Coturnix japonica: one gene and its partner. The protein of the gene in region 2 binds, or shares a complex with, the protein of the main gene of each other region. Links are inferred from orthologs where the notes say so. Each region holds a gene or a part of one and is shown on either strand. Other genes may lie near its edges.

Region 1 (10,618 bases), on a different chromosome or scaffold from region 2:
TCTCTGTTCAACAGCACTGCTTGTGGACCAGTCATAGCATTCAAACTATTAAATGAAGATGGACAGGGTGAATGTCCCAATACAGTTTAGAAACCAGAGCTCATTTTGCCAGAGAAAGGCCACCTCTCCCTGTTACAGCAGGAAGCGACTGAAGCTAGAAGGCCAACACTCTGAGCACTGCAGGAATTGAGAAATTATGTTATTTGTTGATTAAGAATATTAAAAATGACGAGAGAGCAAGGCAAGCATGTAAGGCGTAGAACAGAACCTCAGCACCTCTATTTCAGCAACTCAGACAAGACAGCAGCCTTCTCCAATGATGGATAGGAGAGGCTGCTCCTACCGTCAAGGAACCACTCATGTTCCAGTCTGCACTGGCACAGCAGTCTCAAACAGTGATTTGTACATCACACAGTCAGCTGAAGATCTGATCTTCTTGAGGAACTCAGAACAGAGCTGTGCACAAATCTCAGAATAATTCAAATCAATAAGCAAAGAATATACTATGGTTGGACTTGATGATCTTCGAGGTCTTTCCCAACCTGGGTGATTCTATGATCTTTGAGAGGACAATTTGCTAACACAAATATTTGTTTAAAAATTCCCTTCTTTCCTTAGATTTAAGTCTTTTACATTTTAGTTTCAACAAAAGAGTCCTTTAGAACTTGGGAGATAAGGCAGTGTAAAGCTCAATATACAAATTACTGCTACTTTATGTTAAGAAGAGTGATGGGTCCTATTTCCTAAAGCTATTTCGATACTGTTTTGGCTTTCAGCTATATACACACATACATACAAAGCACACAGTTGCTGTGAACCTCTGTCCCTGCACTGTCATCACAACATGCACTGGAGAAAAGATTGGCTGTGCAAAGCCCCTCTGCCCTGGAGCTACCCAAATAACACTTATTAGGAATTCAAACACCGCTGAAAAATGCATGATGGAACTGCAGTTCAGCTCAATACTGTATTTTACACATCAGGGTCTGTGTCAGGGCTCAAGATCAGAGCCACACTGTTCTGGGTTTCCTGATGGGGGTAAATACATCATTAACTCATTCAGAATTAGAAAGAAACGTGTAAGCATTAAGGTGTTCTGCAAAGTACTACAGATGCAGAATGCAAAAAGCTGAAATGGAATCAAAAATGCGTGTATAAACCAAACCCCATCAGTTCTATATGCCTCAGCTCTCCAAGCATAAGGGTACTGCAACTCATTGCTGGGGTGAGGAATGGCACGAGGGGGGGGGTGGTCTCAAGAAGCTTACAAGTAGGGGCAAGAACAAAAATCATAACAGAACAGTTACATCTGTGAGCTGCTTGTGTGACTGAGACTTCAAATTCAAGCACCTCAGAAAAAAATGTGTACATCTACATTAAATATTTCCAGTTTTGAAGAGTATGACAAGTTTATACAGCACAGGGAAATTTTCCCATTATCTCCTTAGAATACTGCTTGATTATTGTCAATATCTAAGAACGTGATCAGGAAACATAGTATGATGTTTGTTAATAAACATACCACACAACAGCCAATCCTTCTGCTGACGGATTGCATAAGGATCTTTAGGAACCTTCCTCAGCACATCGTCATTAGAATAGTACAAAGAATGAAGCCATAAATATTCATTTTCAAATCGCTCCCTTTAAGAATAGTCATTCTGATAAATTAATTGCATTCTGTTGCTTAAAATGTATGTAACTATGACATTTGCTTACAGTCCCAAATGTTGTTTAAGCACTTTTCTATCTTCTGTTTTTGTTTTTTTTTCTTGGGGGGGGGGGGAAGGGCCTTTACTGCTAGAATCAGCAGCTTTAGAACAGAAACCAAGGAAATACATGGAGAAAACTGAATAAAACAAATGCAGCTCCAGGCCATTTGCTTGCCCATTAGTTTTAAGGAAAAAAAAAAAATAAATAAATACCAGAAAACATAATAACCATACTCTGTGCAAAACACAGCTCTGCTGTCACAGAAGTCAACACTTGGCCCCAAGCATTTGCATCCCAATGGGTAATTACAGCAATAAATCCCACAAACCAATTCACTCTAGTCTTGAACAGAAAAGCAGAACACAGAAATATAAGAAGATGAATGGCGTTTAGCAACTTCAAGATGATTATTAGCAACTGCAGTTTAGAATAACTAGAATCACTTATAGGGGAAAAAAAAGTGACATACATTCTGGATATAATGTGGCTGTCTGGGGCAATTCATGTCACTGATTTTAAATCGTTCACCCTCAAAGTATTATATTTCTACATTTACAGTAATAAATCACGGTATTCTCTTTTGATCTCATACTATACCTGCCATTTACAACTAGGAAACATGCAGGAATGTTGAATGAACGTTTACAGCACGCATCATGCTGACATGGCTTCTGGACTTCTACCAGTAAAAATGTTGTTTTCATATCTCCTTAAAAAGTGCCTACTTTTGACACTACTGAAATAAGAACGTTACAAAGGGCTGTTTCCATCATTTGTGTCCATCATTGCACACTCTCATTTGATTTCTGTTAATCCCTTAAAAACATCAGTGCACTATATGATAGCTTCTTAAAATACCAGTATTGCTGCAGACAAATCAATTCACATACAGAAGAATAAACAAGTGTTAAATAAAGTACTAACCTTCCTCAGTGGGAGTTGCACAGCCTTCAAGGTTCAACATTATATCTTTGTCTTTGTCATCTGCACTGCATCCCAAAAGCATCCAGCTCTCAACATCATCGCTTTCAGAAATCACGCTCTCCTCGTCATCGTCTGAGCTATCATCTATTACCATCACCTCTTGGTTGCTGAGAGGTCCTGAGCTAATGGAGGTAAGTTTCCCACCAGGACCTTGCCCTGAAAACTCTGTGTCTGATCCAGCAGGATACGGAGCATCATATTCAGTGGCTTTGGAACGATTTGCTTTAGAAGATCCATGGATACGTGTTTTACCTTCAGCTAAAGAGCCTGTTGACTTTTGTGCTTTGCTATTGTAAACGCTATCTTCCTCTGGCGTATCAGACAAAACAATGATCTCAGGGTCATCAGAAATCTGACCATCAGGGTCAGGCAGTTCAACAATATTCTTGTCTTCAAGTGGTGTCACAGTTAGACCTGGACTCTGATCTGTGAATCCCACGGCATCTTCTGCCTCTTCAGACACCTCCACTGAGCCGATTTCAGACAGATTTTGGGAATAGTGGACCTGGCTGTAGAGATGAAATTCCACCTCACTGTCAATACTTGGCTCAGAGGATGAATCCTCACGGTAAAGTTCATCTTCATATGCATCACTCTCCTCAGAGTCTTCACATTCATAAAACATTCTGGAAACCAAATTGTCTGTAAGAAACACAAAAGATTCTATCAGTACACTCATGAACATACGCCTCAAAATATCTTTCAAATAACACCTTCGGTCTTCCTGAGATTTCTAAGGTTAGTTGTTAAGCTCTACATATAGCAGACAACAGAGTTTACAGCAACAAAATTAACATTGCCAACAGTGCCAGCAAAAGCTAAGCAAGGGTGCATTTTGTTTCATGTTACTTATTACTTTAACCGAAGCTGCTCTGGCTTCTGACAGCTGTGAAAGATCTCATATTCCAAAGCTTTCCTCCATCCTGGATTCAAAATCAAGGTTTCCGTGTGGATCAGGAGATTTTTGGGCTGTTCTGCGAGGAACCTGGAGTTGAACTTGATGGTCCCTGTGGGTCTCTTCCATCTGGGAATATTCTATCACTCATTCACTTTACACCTGCAGTGCCACATACAGCTCTGGGTTGCCCCACAACAGGATAATATGGGTGTATTAGAGTGAGTGTGGTGACTAAAGCGATTAAGGGCCCGGAGCATCTGTCAGATGGGGAAGAATGTGACAGCTGGGGCAGTTCAGCGTGGAAGGCTCAGTGTGTCTTGCTGATGTACATAAGAACCTGATGGAGGACTAAAGAAAATGGACCCAGATGAAAAATAAAATATAGATTTCACTTGAACATAAGAAAAAACTTTTTTTGCTGTATTGCCTAAAAAAGGCTGTGGAGGTTCAACCATTAATTAAATTCAAGATGCAATGGGACTCTGAACAAACTGCACCCAGTTACACTGCTTTGACTCAAGGCAGCTGGATTAGATCACCTCTAGAATTTCCTTCCAGCATCATTGACTCTATGGTCCTGACTAAGTCAAAGCTATTTCTGGAGTTCACTAAATACCCACGAGCCAGACAGAAAATTCAAAGGTATTCTGAAGCTACTTTGTCTACCTCACAGGCTGCATAATTTAATTTGCATGCACAAATCATGCATGGAAGAAAGAAGATACTTTCTCTGAACAGACTATCTATTTCTGTGTTAGTTCTATGGAAGCCAGCAAGATTTTCTGGGCATGAAAAACTGCCAGACATCAGTTTTATGGTTGTGAAAGTACCCTATATAGACATACAAGTATTAACACTTAGATCTGGGAGCCCTAGACGTAAATGATTTGTATGATTATGGTATTCACAGAACCCAAAAGCTCCCTCTGTGGCAGCTTTCTGTGAGCATCCTATCAGAGTTCCACCTTCATCATGATAAATTAGTCCTCACCTGCATTCCTGCCACATCAGAAGTCAAACATCAAAGTCAGAGGAAACACTTTTTTCTCCACACACAAACGAAAAAGTGAGAAACATGTAAAACATAAAGCAGGAAAACATAATGCCCATCATAGAACGGCTTGGGTTGGGAGAGACCTTAAAGATCATCTACTTCCAACCACAGTATGAGGATAAAAGCACAGCTGGCACTAATAAGGCAGATTTACTGCATCAGTCAGCAATTATAGAAAATAAATTTTAAAAAAAAAGACTTTCAGCAATGCACGAAACCAAAGAATCCACCTGAAGCATGCAGAAATGTTAGTGATACTAGAAAATATAACTTAATTCACTCTTGCTCCTGTCAGCCACTGTACGAAGTCACACCAAGTAAGAACCCCAGCCATATCTGAAAACACGCATCAAGACCAGTGGATCTGAAGTGTTAAGGGATACCCATGTAGCTTACTTACAGACATGGCATTCTGAAGATAGGATTAAAAACAAGGCAGCACTGCACCACACTTACAGTCTACTGAGTGTCAGGAGAGTCAATGGCTTGTACTTCTTTCAGGTCCTCGATGGTAGGGAACTATGAAAGGCTCTTTGTCTTGCTCAGCGTATACATCAGGCCACTGAGAAATGAGAAACACCAAACATCAGCATAGCAAAATAATGTAAAGATACCAATTTCTACCATTCACTGCTGTAGAATTCTGGCAAGAGCTGTGTCCTCCCACTTTACTCAGCATGAGAAATAGGCTTCGAGCAATAACCAAAGCAGACAAAAACACTGCCTTCAAGAAAGAGAAAAGAAGCTCAACAGAAAGATTTGCAGTTTTTCAGACTGACACAGCACCAGCAATCTCTTACTAACATCTAGACGATGAACAACAGTCTAAATCTTTTTGCTACAGCTGGAACATCCTGCTGCTACCTCAACACAGCACAGGCTTCCTCTAAAGCATCTGAGCACCTCTTTGTCAGGCCTTAAGAACTTCGAGTAAAGGGCTAATAATGTAAAAAAAAAATAAAATAAAACAAACCTAAACCCAAAGCACAGTAATCCGAGTTTCTTTTAACTGCCCTTGAACAAAACTCCAGGTGGCTATGCCTAGAAATTGCTGAGGGGTAAAGGAGGGCATTTTCTCAGGAGATTTACAAAGATTGCTTGCCAGCACTTTAGTTGAGTTCATTAAAATAAAAACATCCTTACTTGGTAAAATAACAAACAGCTGTAGTCAGAAATGAGATGTTAATGGTGACTCACAGGCAAAGAGACAGAAGGAGAATTCACCTGGTGCTTAACTTCACATACTGATAGAACTTTGAAAACAAATAAATCAATTTAACAATATATATATCTCTTATTTCACCCTATAGTGTGAGTGCAGTGTTCCCATCACAAATCACCAATGAATTCTCCATATTTCCCTTGCTTTCTGCTTGGCCTGTGCAGTAACACAAACTATTTATGACAAAGGCTGTATTGAAAATACAGCAACAAATATATCCTTGTGTGTCTTAAGGAGTAAAGGCAAAAGAAAAGCTTACAGCCAGTATCTCTGATACAGACTGGGACAACAAAAAAATGGGGAAAAAAAGGACATTTTGATGAAAATACAAAACCTGGCTAAAATCACAGTTCCAAAACCTCTCTAAAATCACAGTTCCCTACCAGAACAGAGGTTCAGCATGGCAGCAGATATCAACAGTCTGTATAGTTTTATGCAGAGCAGCTTTCTTTTCCAGTTTCCTATTTAGATGTATTTGTAATACCCAAACTGACCCCATACTCCAGACTGTTAAGGTCTGGAAAACCAAAATCGATAAAGGATTTAAATCTAAAAGCATAATAAAGTGAAATTCTTCACCTGCTAGGCCTGTTTCTGGGCCCTCCATCAGAAGCATCACAGCTCCTTTTTCATTGACATAAACCATCAAAATAATCAACTTTTAAGTAGCAAACACCCAAATGAAGATCACATCTGTGTTCTTGCGAGCCTTATGAAGGCATGAAAACACCAAATAACCACCACAGCGATTATTTAAACACAGTTATTATATGAACTCAGTGTCAGGACCGCGCCTGGGCCGGAGCACCGGGGAGGAAGGTGGGACCCTGAGAACGAGCCGGGCCCGGGGCGCTCGGACCGGCAGGAAACGGCACCAGAACCGGGACCAGAACCGGGACCGGGACCAGGACGGAACAGCGTTGGGCCGGGATGAGGGAGAAGGCAGCATAGGGGGAAGGAAGCGGCGCCGCTCACGTACTCACTGCGGGCCGAACCGGGACGCGACGAGAAGGAAGTGACGGAATCGGGCCGCCCACCGGCAGCACGTGTGTCCGGCTCCGCCCCGGCTGGGAGATAAGGGTGGGATGGCGGCTGGGGACGGGGGTGAGGGGTGGGAAGGGGTGTGTTGTGCTCCTATGCAGCCCATATACAGCTCCTATGTAGCCCCTATGCAGTTCCTATGCAGATCGTATGCAGCTCATGCAGCCCCTATGCAGATCGTATGTAGCCCCTATGCAGCTCATATGCAGCCGGTATGCAGTTCCTATGCAGCTCCTATACAGCTCATATGCAGCCCGTAAGCCGCTCCTATACAGCTCATATGCAGCCCGTAAGCCGCTCCTATACAGCTCATATGCAGCCCATATACAGCCCATATGCAGCCCATATGCAGCCCATATGCAGCCCATATGCAGCCCATATGCAGCTCCTATGCAGCCCCTATGCAGCCCCTATGCAGCTCGTATGCAGCTCCTATACAGCTCCTATGCAGCTCCTATGTAGCCCCTATGCAGCCCCTATGCAGCTTCTATGCAGCTCATATGTAGCCCCTATACAGCTCATATGCAGCCCCTATGCAGTTCCTATACAGCTCATATGCAGCTCCTATACAGCTCATATGCAGCCCCTATGCAGCTCCTATACAGCTCATATGCAGCCCCTATGCAGCTCATATGCGGCTCCTATGCAGCTCCTATGCAGCCCCTATGCAGCTCCTATGCAGCCCCCATGTAGCTCGTGTGTAGCTCCTATGCAGCCCCTATGCAGGTCTTATGCAGCTCCTATACAGCTCCTATGCAGCCCTTATGCAGCTCCTATGTAGCTCGTATGTAGCCCCTATGCAGCTCATATGCAGCCGGTATGCAGTTCCTATGCAGCCCCTATGCAGATCGTATGCAGCTCATGCAGCCCCTATGCAGCTCCTATGCAGCCCCTATGCAGCTCCTATGCAGCCCATAAGCAGCTCCTATACAGCTCATATGCAGCCCCTATACAGCTCCTATGCAACCCGTATGCAGCCCCTATACAGCTCATATGCAGCCCCTATGCAGCCCATATGCAGCTCCTATACAGCTCATATGCAGCCCCTATGCAGCTCCTATGTAGCCCCTATGCAGCTCCTATACAGCTCATATGCAGCCCCTATGCAGCTCCTATGCAGCCCATATGCAGCTCCTATACAGCTCCTATGCAGCCCCTATGCAGCTCCTATGCAGCCCCTATGCAGCCCGTATGTAGCTCCTATTCAGCCCATATGCAGCTTGTATGTAGCTCCTATGCAATTGTATGAGAGATTGCCTGAAACCAGAATGTTCAATTTCCTCATCAATTACTACTTCTGAATATGAGAACTTTGCCAAAAGTAGACATTCTGTGGGCTGAAATTCTTTGCCAGGTGGTTTTGTCTACTGTTCTGATGAACTGCGGTTAAAGGTTTTTCAATGCATCTTATTGCAGATAAATATGTAAGGGAGCTTAAACTTCAGCGTGAGGTAAAAGCTCCCTCTGTACAAGAGCATATTTCAGAAACCAAATCAGCATTATTTAGGGAAAATTCAGTGACGTCCTGGTACCTTTCTGGGCTGTGCTGGAAAGCTGGACATTCTGGCTGTTCTCATTGTGTTTTGATTTCTAATTCATATACTTATAAAGGTTGGGAAGAGCAAGACACCCAAGGGACAGCCCAGAGCTTTCACTTTCCATTTTTGTAAGCCTTTATACAGGGACTTTCCTAATACTTGTACTGCGTTTTCAACATTATTGGCAGGTAATTTCAGCCTGTATTTTGAGCCTAGTAACATTAGCACTTTCAGAAGAATGCTGATTTTTATCTGCCTCTGCTTGTTACAAAAACCCTCTCAAATGTATATGAAATTAACTGTTGTAAAACAATTGCAAAACATTGCTGTTGGTATGACCAGAGTGGTCCATTGTACAGATGTGTACAGGCTTATGTTGCTGCTGCACAGCAGATTGGGTTGGTTGCCTGCCTTAAATTAGGGGTTTATGTCTGATGCTCGCTCAGTGGCAATTTCACACATGCTCCTTAAGCAAACTGAGTTCTGCCTCATAAATGATGAACTGCCTTGCATATGGGCTCAGTCCAAACCTTTCACAACCTTTGATCACCTCCCATTTGGTATGCACTGACTTGTGCAATAGGTGCACAAGTGAGATTCAGGCTCCAACACTCACGGCCAGTAGAAGAAGGGAGCTGGCAGCCCCATTACACCTGGTTGCTGATGCTGTGAGCCCTCTGTGCTCCATGTTCTGATGGGTTTTGCTTCCCATGGGCAGAACATCCCCTTTCCCTCCACTCCCAGCACCCACAGCATTCCAAGATTCTAAAAGTAGATGGAAACATTCAGAGATGCTGCAGAGGGAAATTTGCAGCATCTCCCACTGCTTGGAGACACTTCAGGTCTCCGAGTCTTCCAGACTTGCAGAAATTCAGTTGTTATTACACCACAGGCTTTGGGCGTTTTAAAAGTGTAAAAACAAGGAGATTTCCCACGTGTAAACTGGCATTATTCAGTCCAAATGCCAGTAGGTGGCACCCAAGAATGTGCAGCTCTGTTGGTAGGCTTTGTGCAGGCCTCGCTGCTTGTTGGTGCTGTCAGCCTCTGCTCTCCCTGCAGCCACAAGGAAGCCTGCAGGACTCCTCTTCTTCCTGATGTATGGTTTCAAGTGCTGTAGGAAACAGTATGGAGAAATCCAGAATTATACGCAGCAGTGCTACTTGTTATTAGGGCGTCCATGCGTGGGTGCTGCTTTCTCTTGCCTATAGGTTCACTTCACATCATTGCTTTTACGTGGTGGGCAGGCTGAGAGTTCCATCTTTGTTGGTCCTGCTCTGGCAAAATACACACAGTTTAGGGGATGAGGAGGTCAAGGTGTGAAGGTGTGAAGGCAGAGATGCTCCAGCAGCACCTGGCTGGGCAAAGGGCCCCTCGAAGGGCTGAGGGCTGCAGAGGAGCTGGGTTTGTCCAGGGAACACCAGGGAGGGGACCAGGATGGAAAGTGAATGAGCCACTAACAAATAACCGAGGTGGCATCTGTCTCCTGTTGTCACCTCCAGTTTGTTGTGGGCTGAAATACCCTACCCTAAAGGAACATCACTTTCAGAAGACTTTGTATTGAAAAGGGGGGTAAATAGGAAGGTCGGCAGACCTACAGGAGCTGAGTGGTCCCCCCTGCTGAGTCCCACCGGGGAAACAGACCGGACCCGGCTGTGCATCCCGCATATTAACCGAGCTGCGGCCGGTCCGCACCTTCATGCTCCGAAGTTAATTAAATTCCCACCCACTACCTGGCCCGCTCCTCCTCCTCCCGGTGCTTCGCTTTGCAGCTTCAACAGAACAGCGGGAGAAGGGAGGGAGTGTTAATTACGGAGCTCCATGGAGCCAGCTCCGCGGCGCCTCACGGCTTGTTACTTACAGCTTGGGCTGCAGAGAAGGGAACGGGAGCGGAGGAAATGGGGGGAATAAGGGCTGGGGGAGAGCAGAGTGTGGTTTGTCTGCAGGGCGGTGATGAAGCAAAGCGGGCACTGAGGGATGCTGAGCGCCGACGGGGCCGCACACGGTCCGCTCCCCTTCTCCGGAGCTGCAGAGCGATGCTCAGGCTCCAAAACCCCCGTGAAGGTCCCTCAGAGAAAACATTTCCTTTCCCAAATTACCCCAGTTTTTACCACCTATCTCCAAGTCCAGGCGAATAAGAATCCTCAGCGTTTTCAGGTGAAGAAAAGTCC
Region 2 (10,251 bases):
AGGGAAAATGTCTGAAGCCAACATCCAGCTTTACTCTCTTTTTCTTCTGATAGGAATATTTTCTTTACCCCAATTTCTAGGTTCAGGTTCAGAAAGCAATATCCAAATATAACCAGAACCACTCCTTGGCAGTTCATCTGCGTGGATAATTGAAAGGAATGAATTCTCATAATTTCAGAAATCACAGCATGTTCACATACTGAATTAGAATGCAAACAGCTCACCAAGAACAGCAGCAGCATTCATTTGCTTATAATATGCACTATGCAAGATTTCCACTTTGTCTGCTGCAGACAGCCGTCTCTCTGAGGAAGGTTCTCAGGCCACGTGTATGCGGGGATCTCAGCACAACATGTAACGTGCTACTGCTGCCACTGCCAGCACCCAGCAAAGAGAGTGCAACACTGTTATGCATCACATGCAATAGAAACAAAAGACCTGGGAGCAAAAGCCACCCCAGCAACTCCGGTGTATTTGTTACTTTGGAGTACATGCTCTGTATTGAGAGATGTGTTCTGAATTATCAAATCATGAAGTCAGTAAGAAGTAGTACAAAGTTTCACAGTACAGTTTTGATGGTGGTGTTACATATACAACTTGTCAAAATGGCATTTGAAAGCGTTAAGGATTTCCAAAGCAAAAACCAGACCTCATTCTCCAGCTTTACAGAAGTGAACACCCTGGAACAAAGTGTAACAGTAAGATGGTTAAAAAACAACGAAGCAGAGAAAAATGCAATAATATGCTTTGATGACACGGCTCTAAGACCAACAAAACACTCTCAGGCTTCCTAAAACTGACCTCATACAAACAGCTTGCCAATTAAAAAAGAAGAGCTAGAACTCTAACACTGCTTAATGTGACTCCAGTGAAGATCCAGGGAGAGCAAATACTCTCTTCTCAACTGCACACGGCTGGGGAGAGCACACAGCAGCTTTTGGGAGGCAGCAAACACCCAAGGGGGAATGACACTCTCTTCCTATTACTTAATATAGACATCCCCGTCCACCAAAGAAGTCCACCAAACATCTGTTCCTTATATAGCCGCTCCAAGGTAAGAAGGTACCCAAGTCACAAACAGAATCAGAGCAAAGAGAACAGCTCACAAAAATACATTCAAATGTTCTTTCCCTCCATGTGTAGAAACCGATAGGTCTCCAAAGTTCTCTTTAAACTGTTTAAACAAGACATGCTGAAATTTTGGCACTGGCACAAGATTCTACAAGCTAAACAATATTGTTATATAATATTTAAAGTGTGTTTCCTACATGTTTCCTCAAAATGCCTTTATTCTAATGCTTGCACCTCCTAGTAAACTCATTTTGCTCTCCCTCAAGGAGAATAACAGCCTGTCACTACCTGAGGCTGCAGGCAATAGCCAGCCCCACTCCCACGCAGCCCAGCTGCCCACCTTCCAGAACTGCACAAGCTGTCACGGGGGCACTGCCAGCACCTCCTCAACACAATGCTGACACTGACAGCAATCTCAGCTGGCAGACACAGGGGAATGATGAGTACTATACTCACATCCCTGGACTCCTACCTTAAGGCTTACACACGTGGGTACAAAGTGAGGAGACAGCACAGTTCTAAGCGACTGTTTCAGGGAGCAGATAGAACTTCTGTGCATATGTACACGGTGAATTCAAGTGCAACCCATGTTTTGATACACATCTTCATGAGGTCCATAACACGTGCAACTACTCCAAGGATACATTAAGAAGCGTGCACACACCTCACTGCTGTTTCACCAGCACTTCAGAACAACAAGCATTGGTTTATTTATGTGAAGTTGTGTAGGCGCCAAGCTAGTGCAAGCAGACCAAGTATCACCCATGCGTTCGTTTCAAACACTGAAGAGTACACGATGAAAAGCAGCACAGCAAATGAGGATATCATTACACCTGCCCAGGTTGGGCACTGAGCCACACAAGTCAGCAGTACAGGTACACCAATTTGCTGTGCTCATGATACACTCAGCTGCTGTGCCCATGCTCCAGCCCACATGGCAATGCTGCTGCTGTGGCTGACAGCACACACAAGTGAGAGCTGTGAGACGTGGGGCTCAGGCTGCCCACTGCCCTGCTGCAGCCACACACTCACTGCTCAGCTCAGGCTCAGCACAGCGCACACACCTGCATGCTGAACTTCTGCCATAGAAGTCAATAAGAGGCCCAAAGAGCTGACAATGCCACATGAAAATAACAGATGAGAACTTCTCCAGCAAGCACATGCAGCTTTAAGCCACTTCTTCCTGAAGTATTATGGTTCTATTTCACAGCATCCCCTCCTCCAGCCTGACACACAGGGAAACCCTGCACTGTGCCAGCCTGCTGCACCTCCATTGGGCCTGGGAGACTGTTCTCACTGTGCTTTCAGTACTCCAAAACACTCAGTCTTCAACTTAACCCAGCCTCTCCCTCACTACTACACATAACATTTTCCTTCCTAAACTCACACATTAGCCAAGTTCTTCCTATTTGACTGTATGTTCTGGTAAAACTTATCCAGTTCCCTACAAAGTCCCCAAACCCACATCCCCGGAGCTGCTCGTGAGCTCTTCCCTTCAGTGCAAGCATCAGAGAAACAGGAGGGGACAGGCCACAATGAGCTGTGTGGCTTTCACTGGCTTTTTTTGGTTTTGTTGTTTCATATAAAGCTTCTGGCTTATGCAGTTCTTTTACCCTGGCTCAGCCTTAGCTCAGACAGAGCTGTAGGACACATTTTAGTTCCCCGGATCTTTTTGTGTCCTTACAGCTATGACACAGTGCTGTCAGCATTCACTGCTGTCCTTGGAGGGGAGGGAACAACTCAGAATCCCCCTAGGCCCCAAACCACGTACCCATCTACACCTTCTACCTTTAGTGCTAGGAGTACCACATCCAGGTAAATTCAATCATGGTTTTAAAGGGACATATTACATCCAGCAACATCATCCAGGTCCTGCACAACTTTAGGTTCATTTTCTGTGCTATCGGCTCTTTGGAGCACCACTGCCCGCTGACAACGGCAGCAGAGGACACAAGACAGGCACCCAAGTCTGACAGCACAAAGCAACTCAGGCAGCACCAAACACGTGCTTTCCAGTGCTGCTTCCCATGCCACAAAGCTGAGAGTGCCAGCACAAAGCAAAGAGGAGTATGAGTAACACAGCATCTACATTATCAACAGAACTGGAGGTCTGAACACTTCTGTAAGGAACAGCATTAAAGATATGCCAGAATAAGATGTCCACGCGTTGAACGCAGCCAGTATTTCTGCATCAATGAATGCTCACAAATACTGTGCACGGTCTGTAAGATAAATGTCCTGATGTGAAATCCATGCAGTGGTGGGTTATGGCTGTTACTCGGTTACCACCTCACACACACTGCGTGAACTGAGGAAATGTTGTTTCTCAATAAAAATGAAAACAACTGAAAAGAAACACCTCAAACATTGATCTAAAGCTTTAGGCAGCTCTAAAGCTTTAGGCAGCTCAGTAGCGAGACTTACATGATGTCACATGTTTACATAAACTGCCCAACAAGCTAGGAACTACCAGGCAGTTTTTCCAGGCAGCTCATCAGTAGAACTGTGCGCTCAGAGGCAATGGACCCTCAAGTGACATCCTTGCACTGGAAACAGGAATTCTGTCTGCTCCCAGTGGTGTATGTGAGCAAGTCAGGCCCTGTCCTTTTGAAAACGGGACTGCTCAACAACATGGGGGCAGCCAACAGACTCAACATTTAAAGTGATCGACCTAAAAAAGAAATAAATAAGGGAAGGTATTCAAGGGAGAGTGGCTAAGCCTTAATTACTTGTAACATTTACACGGAAACAAGTACAGAGGGGAGAAAGGATACTTTGAACACCAGCATAAGGCTTGCAATACAACTACCATGTATTCCTTTACCCAGTAACTGCTAGGAAGAACCAACACACATTCCAGAACCAGTACTGGAAATGTGTAATCTGAGATAGATTAGCAACAGCCTCGTTTTCTGGGTTACAGAGCTCTCTGCCCACCAGTGCCATGCAGTGCTCTAGGACATGGGGCAGAAGCCCACCAGCACCTGTTGGCAAGGAACACACAGCAGCAGCTCAGCACACAGCTGGGCAGTAACACGGAGCTCCACCATGCCCCACTTCAGCATCTCATAAATGCACGCCACAAACCTGACAGCCCAGCACACACCAACGTATCTCAGCACTTTTTGACACTAAAAGAAAAAATAAGTCTACACTGTGCAACCAACTTCAAGCATGAAAGCGATTCAACTGAGATTCTCCTACTGCAACTGTCACCACCTCCAACACTTGGGTCCACTTATTACCTTGTGGCTCCTGATGAAGCTCAGCCCCTTTTTCTACTCCATCTCTTCAACGCAGAGAAAAGGTTTATAGATTTACAAGAAAGAAGAGCTTCTAAAAGTGATCCTCAACTACCAAGTAAATAAATGACAAGCTGGAAGGTAAACAGAGTCCAAAAACTAACTTTAAAAAGTTGGATTTAGTATGCTTGGAACGTGCTACTTGTAAGTCTTGTGAAGGACATTGTGGAGGCTCCAGCACAAAGAGTGACCATAGAACTCAGAACAGCACAATTCTGCAACGTCACTTTACAAACTACAGTAACCCCAGCAGTAAAGGTAACAGAGTGGCTGGCAAGAAAATAGGGAGCCTGGGGCTGTAAGAGTTTGTTTTCCAAAGCAACCAACAACTTTGAATATTTGTTCTGAAGCTTCTTACAGAAGAATGGTTTTTGGGAGGCGGGAGGTCAGCACCTCCCAGTGGGAGGCAGCAGAAGGACCCTCAGGCACAAGCTGGGCACACCAGCAGTGACCCACTCACATCAATATTGATTTCTAAACCAAGCCCTTCCCACTCCTCCTGTCACCACACACCTTGGCCAGCTGAACCCTGGGGCGAGGCCTGATGCTTTCTAAGCATGAAGGATTGGAAAGGGCACTACAGCTGCTCACACTGCACTGCAAATCCACGCTTAACAAACACATGTCAGTGTGCTGCTGCTGGGGAGGACGGAGAAACGGGTCACAGCCAAAGGATGGACTCTGAGAGCGTGAACTTTAAAAATAAAAACTGAATCACAGAAAGCATCAATGGATTTTAACCAGGGATTCACCCATACCAAAAGTCATCCACATGTTAAATAAAGGGGTGAGGAGGGGCTTTGGACAGCTTTCGGACAGAAGATCCGTGTTTGCCTGCTGTCGATCTCTGCGGCCTCAACAACACCAAGGGATGAGACCTAGCTAACAGAAAAAACAATATGGACAAAATCCTCAGATCAGCACTTGCATTCCACAGCCAGAGATCCACAAAAACCATTAATAAACCCACACCAAAATCCATAATGCTCTATACACACACAGGTTTGTTGCTGAGGACGGGCACCAGCATATGAACGTGTCTTATCTGTCACCTCTCTGGAAAACACACTGCCCCATATAAACGCTCTCTTTTGCCACCAGCAGATCTTTAGGTCCCAGCTCCTGCTCTGTGCCCGTTCCGCACGTCGTACAGAGCGTGCCCGGGGCACAGCCCGCTGCCCTCCCGCCCGCAGCTCCGTGCTACATCCTCGCAGCGTGCCGAGCTGCACCGGCAGCCGAGCGAAGAGCGAAACGGAGGACACACACAGCCGGAACGCAAAGGCTGCGGGCGGGCACGGCCACACCGAGAGCTGTGCGGCGGTGGGAGATCCGAGCACTCCACGAGCGATCCGTGTGTAGCACGCACCACGTGCACACACGCACTGACAGCGAGACGAGCGGATCCCGTCCCCGCACCTAGGCGTGCCCGCTCCATTAACATGCACACAGACACCTCCCGGCCACTCGCGGAACGCGCCGCTTCGGCCTCGAGCGAACGCCTCCTTCCTCCCCAGTACCAGCACCTGCACTGGAGCCGCCCCTCCGGGCCTGCTGTGCAGCACGGGCCTCGTCCCCGCACGGCGGCCCGGCCCGGCCCTGCTCGGCCGCCCCGCACCGCCCCGCACCGCCCCCCGGGCCTGTGCCGCGCCCCGCCGCCCGCCCCAGGTGCCGCGGCCCGGCGCCCCCCCGGCCTCCTCCCCCCGAGGCCCCGGGCCGGGTGCAGGCCCCGCTTCCCCGGCGCTCACCCCACGACTCCCTGGCTGTAGTTCCTCTTCTTCCATGGGGTGCCGGTGTAGTGCGACTCGGCCAGGCCAGACTGGGCCCTGGCGGCCGGCCCGTCGCCCAGGGCGGGGGCCCGGCCCTGCCCGGGCGGCCCCAGCAGGAGGCTGTAGTTGAGCCCGAAGGTGCTGGCCTTGTTGTCGCGCTTCCTCTTGTTGCTGGCGGCCGCGGCGGCGGCGGCGGCGGCTGCGGGCGGCACCCCCCGAGCGGGCCGGGCCCAGGCGGCGGCCCCCGGGGGTGGCGAGGCCTGTCGGTGTCCGCGGTTGTGCTGGTTGTTGGCGCTCTCGAGCGGCAGGAAGTCGGGCTGGGGGTCGGCGCGGGGGGCGCGGTACATGCCGGGCGGGGAGGCCGGGCCGGCCCCGGCGGGGGCGCTCTGCTGCTGCTGCTCCTGCTGCTGCTGCTGCTCCTGCTGCTGCTGCTGGAAGTAGAGGTTGCGGACCCCCTGCGTGGTCTCCCAGATCTGCATCCACAGGCGGTTCGAGGGGCCGAGCTGCTCTGGCTGGAACCAGGCGATCCGGGGATCCATCAAACGGGGGACCCACCCCGGCCGCCTCCGCTCCCCGCGCCGGCCGCCGCCGCCGAGACCCTGTCAGCGGGTCCCAGCGTTAATGGCGGCTCCTATGGAAGGGCAGCTCCGCGCCTGCCTGCTCGCCGCCGTCGCTCCACAGCCCCCGCCCCTCCTGGCGAGCGCGGCGAGGCGGGGCCCGGCCGGGCCGGCGGCACACGGGCCGCGCGCAATAAAGGGGGGCGGCGGCGGCCGGGCCGGAGCTGTCGGAGCTGTCAGCGCTGGAGCTCCGCTCCGCTCCCGTCTCTCCGCCGCTCCCGGGTCTCTCCGAAGCGAGGCGGCCGCTGCTGCTCCGGGGCTCGGTCCCCGCGCTGAGGGGCGCCGGCTCCCGGCGGGCAGCAGGTGCGCGGGGCCGCCCCGGGGCAGCGGCCGCTTCGGTTCCCTCCCGCGAGGTGCGGGGTCGGTAACTGCCGCCCCGTCCCCTGCTCAGCCGTGCGCTGCCCTGCAGCTGGGTGAGCTGCTGGGGGGACCCGCCTGCGGCACCGAGGGACGGAAACGGAGCGCCCGGCTGCCATTGCTTGTACGGACAGATGGCAAAACACAGTGCACACCGTGCAGCAAACGGCAAAATGGAGTGGTACGGCTTCTAGTCAGGCTGTTTTATTTCTGTAGTGCTTTCATACTACAGCCTTAAAACGTATTCCGTATGATAACAGCTACAAAGGTTCCAGCGCTGGGTGGGACAGGATTCCTCTTCAGGCAGCAGGAGCTAATACAGTGTTTGGAACTAGAAAGGTGTGCTTCGGTTCCAAGTATTCCATGAGGTGGAAAGTTTACAACGTGTCCCAGCAGCGTTTGGTGCTGACAGCCACAGACCGACAGTGCAGCTTCACCCTGTGTCCCACATGGCCAGGAGCAGGGCTGGGGGGACACTGAGCCCTCTGCTTCTGAGGTTCTGCCTTTGTCCGACTGATCTGCACAGCCCGAGAGACTCCAACCCCAGTGAGAATCTCAGGGGCCGGACACAGCTGTTGAGGTGACAGATTTGATTAATTGCTTTGAAAATCACCTGCAGTTACCACCAACACCAAGTGGACAGTGGTGGGACTTGAGCACAGCTCAGGAACAAAGATATAAATCAGAAGGCTTCAGTTCATAAACTTCGTACTGAAACAGCACAGGAAAGGGGGAGCAACAGTAATAAAAGCTCACGTTACCATTAAGGAGATAACAGTCACAAAATATGTGGCCATGGAAAGCAGTCTGATACCACAAGCACATGAGATCAGGGTACGAGCCTGGAAAGAGAGGCAAAAAGTTGCCATGCTTGAATACAGCTGACATGACTTTTTTAGTCACGACTTTGAACTTTAACTTCTCCTTACTAAAGAGGCAATTCCTCAGAAAAAGGCTGTTTAGAAACACCACAGAGTTTTTAGCTGTCAGCCATTCCACAGTTAGATTCTTGAAGTGCCCTTTACTCTCCATCAGCAGCAGGGGGTGCGAAAAGGCCAACACCATTTCCCTTGAAGGTAAAAAAAAATACAAACCAAAAACAGCAATCACACCAGAAGGGGAAGGAAACAATTCCAGATGAGATTTTTGTTACAAGAAAAGGAGCACAAAGCCCAGAGGACATTTATCGAGTCCCAACACAGCTTCAGAAGTGGGACAGGCATTGACATGACCACTCAGGGTCTCTCCCAACGCTGGGGCTGCACCAGGACCCTCCTGTGTGCCAACAGCCATGCAGCAGCCACAACGCTTCCAACAGCACAGATCGTTGCAGCAATACCTTATTTCAGCCCCCCTGCGTTTTGATTTAAGTCCTTAATACAACAGCGAGGACGCTGGGATTTGAAAGAAAAAAGACAAACGTTTATCATGTTCTTTGTGTACAAGTCTCAAGCTGTGTTTATGTGGTCACTGAATTACGTCTGACGGAACGTTATGTCTGTGCCTCTCACAGAAACAAGGAACTTAGGAAAAAAATACTGAAACAAATGAAGTAAGAGTGATTTAAATACGTGCTGTTCTTCCGGGAAGGTACAGAAGTTAAACAGTCTGAACTGACTTGGAGAACAGACAGGAACTCCGCAGCACTCAGTGAGAGCTCCACCACACAGAGCACTTCAGCCCTTGTGGGAAACTTCAGATTCTTTCCTCTGCTGCCACTGTCCGAGTTCTCAGTTTTTGCCAATTATCTGAGTGTTACGTATCGTAAGAGCACATCCAAAGAGACTATATTTAGACTGCCTGCTCAATTCATCTGTGCCAGCAAAGAACCATTAGATTTCTTTCAATTACAATTACTATCGCCTGAATTTGAATTTGCAACAGTAAATGTAAGACTCCAAGACTAGGCAGCTCTTTCCAGTCCTCTGGGAATCCTTTTACTGAAAATTACTGATTAAGGAAACAGAACTGAAGTTTATAAGCACTTTTGGTTGGTTGGTCAATGTTACCATGCCACAAGATACGCATTTCATTTATAATACTTAAACTACAGACTGATTTTAATTTGTTCTCAGATTACAGGTCTCATTTTGTAACTTTACTGTGCTCTGATTTTTTTTTCCTTCCACATTCAAAATACACACATAGAACCAAGCCAAGTAGTACCGGTTACGAGTATTCTTCATCTACAGAGAACATCCTTACAACACTGCACAAAAAATACCCTCAACATACAGCGCAAACCTTGAGTAGTTAATAGTTAACCACAAAGTTACAGACATCTTCTGAATGCTCTGTCACAACAAATACTTAATGAAATCTTGCCACTTGTTTCTCTTCATAAAGAGTAAAAACAAGCCAGGTAGCAATGATAATTCCTTATCTATGCAGCTGTGGAGTCAATGTTTTGCAGGCTGCAGAGGCCAAAGCAGCAGCCACCACCACCCGTCCCACTGCTTCTGAGCAGGAAGAGGCCAGCAGCCCCTCTTCCTTTACTGTACTTCACACCTCAGACTAGCAGTTTTTACACTGCAGCATAGACAGATGCTTTAGGGACAAGGATAAGCAAACAAATTCATTCTAAGATACCTGCTTTGATAACAGTCTTATCTGTGTGACTACATGAACTGATGAAGATCACATATGTCTTTAGCACCTGCTTAATTAGGCTGCCCACTGGCTAATCAGGGCAGTACTTCCCACCCTCAAAGCATCTCCAAGATCTGCCTTTGTCTTTATAAGCTGTCAAGGATCTCTTTGTCTCGCCTACTCTAAAACTACTCAAATAAATCAGTGCCAGAAGAGCCCATTAAACATTTAGCTTGAGCCACATCATCTTCTCTTCCACTGCCTTAATTTTCCTCAATTGTGTTAGAACAACTTTTATAGCCCAAACCTTACAGCTGAGCCTATAAATCTCTTCTGTTTTTAGGCCATGATCTGACACTTCTTTAAATCACAGACAATTTGCCTTTTCATTGTCTTCCATAGTTGTCATATTATCTTCTATCTCACCCCTTACAAGAACACGCTCTCTATGTTAACATAAAAAAAAATTACTCTTTCATATTCACTCACAAGCAATTCATTAGACACCAAGAGCAAGTTACACTATGTTAGGAGTTAAGTGGGTAATAC

What was found.
Region 1: TENT4B (region 2) and ZCCHC7 share a complex: the UniProt entries of both Homo sapiens proteins name them as parts of the nucleolar TRAMP-like complex. The link is inferred for Coturnix japonica from reciprocal best matches to the Homo sapiens genes TENT4B and ZCCHC7.

What each region holds. Positions count from the first base shown.
Region 1 is NC_029547.1:66,859,220-66,869,837, forward strand, and holds the start of ZCCHC7 (zinc finger CCHC domain-containing protein 7), read right to left. Parts: upstream 6,948-10,618; 5' UTR 6,851-6,947; intron 6,821-6,850; exon of another isoform or gene 6,451-6,820; intron 5,212-6,450; 5' UTR 5,106-5,211; intron 3,340-5,105; 5' UTR 3,323-3,339; coding exon 2,638-3,322; intron 1-2,637.
Region 2 is NC_029526.1:5,537,445-5,547,695, forward strand, and holds the start of TENT4B (terminal nucleotidyltransferase 4B), read right to left. Parts: upstream 6,834-10,251; 5' UTR 6,679-6,833; coding exon 6,119-6,678; intron 1-6,118. UniProt on the Homo sapiens protein: Terminal nucleotidyltransferase that catalyzes preferentially the transfer of ATP and GTP on RNA 3' poly(A) tail creating a heterogeneous 3' poly(A) tail leading to mRNAs stabilization by protecting mRNAs from active deadenylation.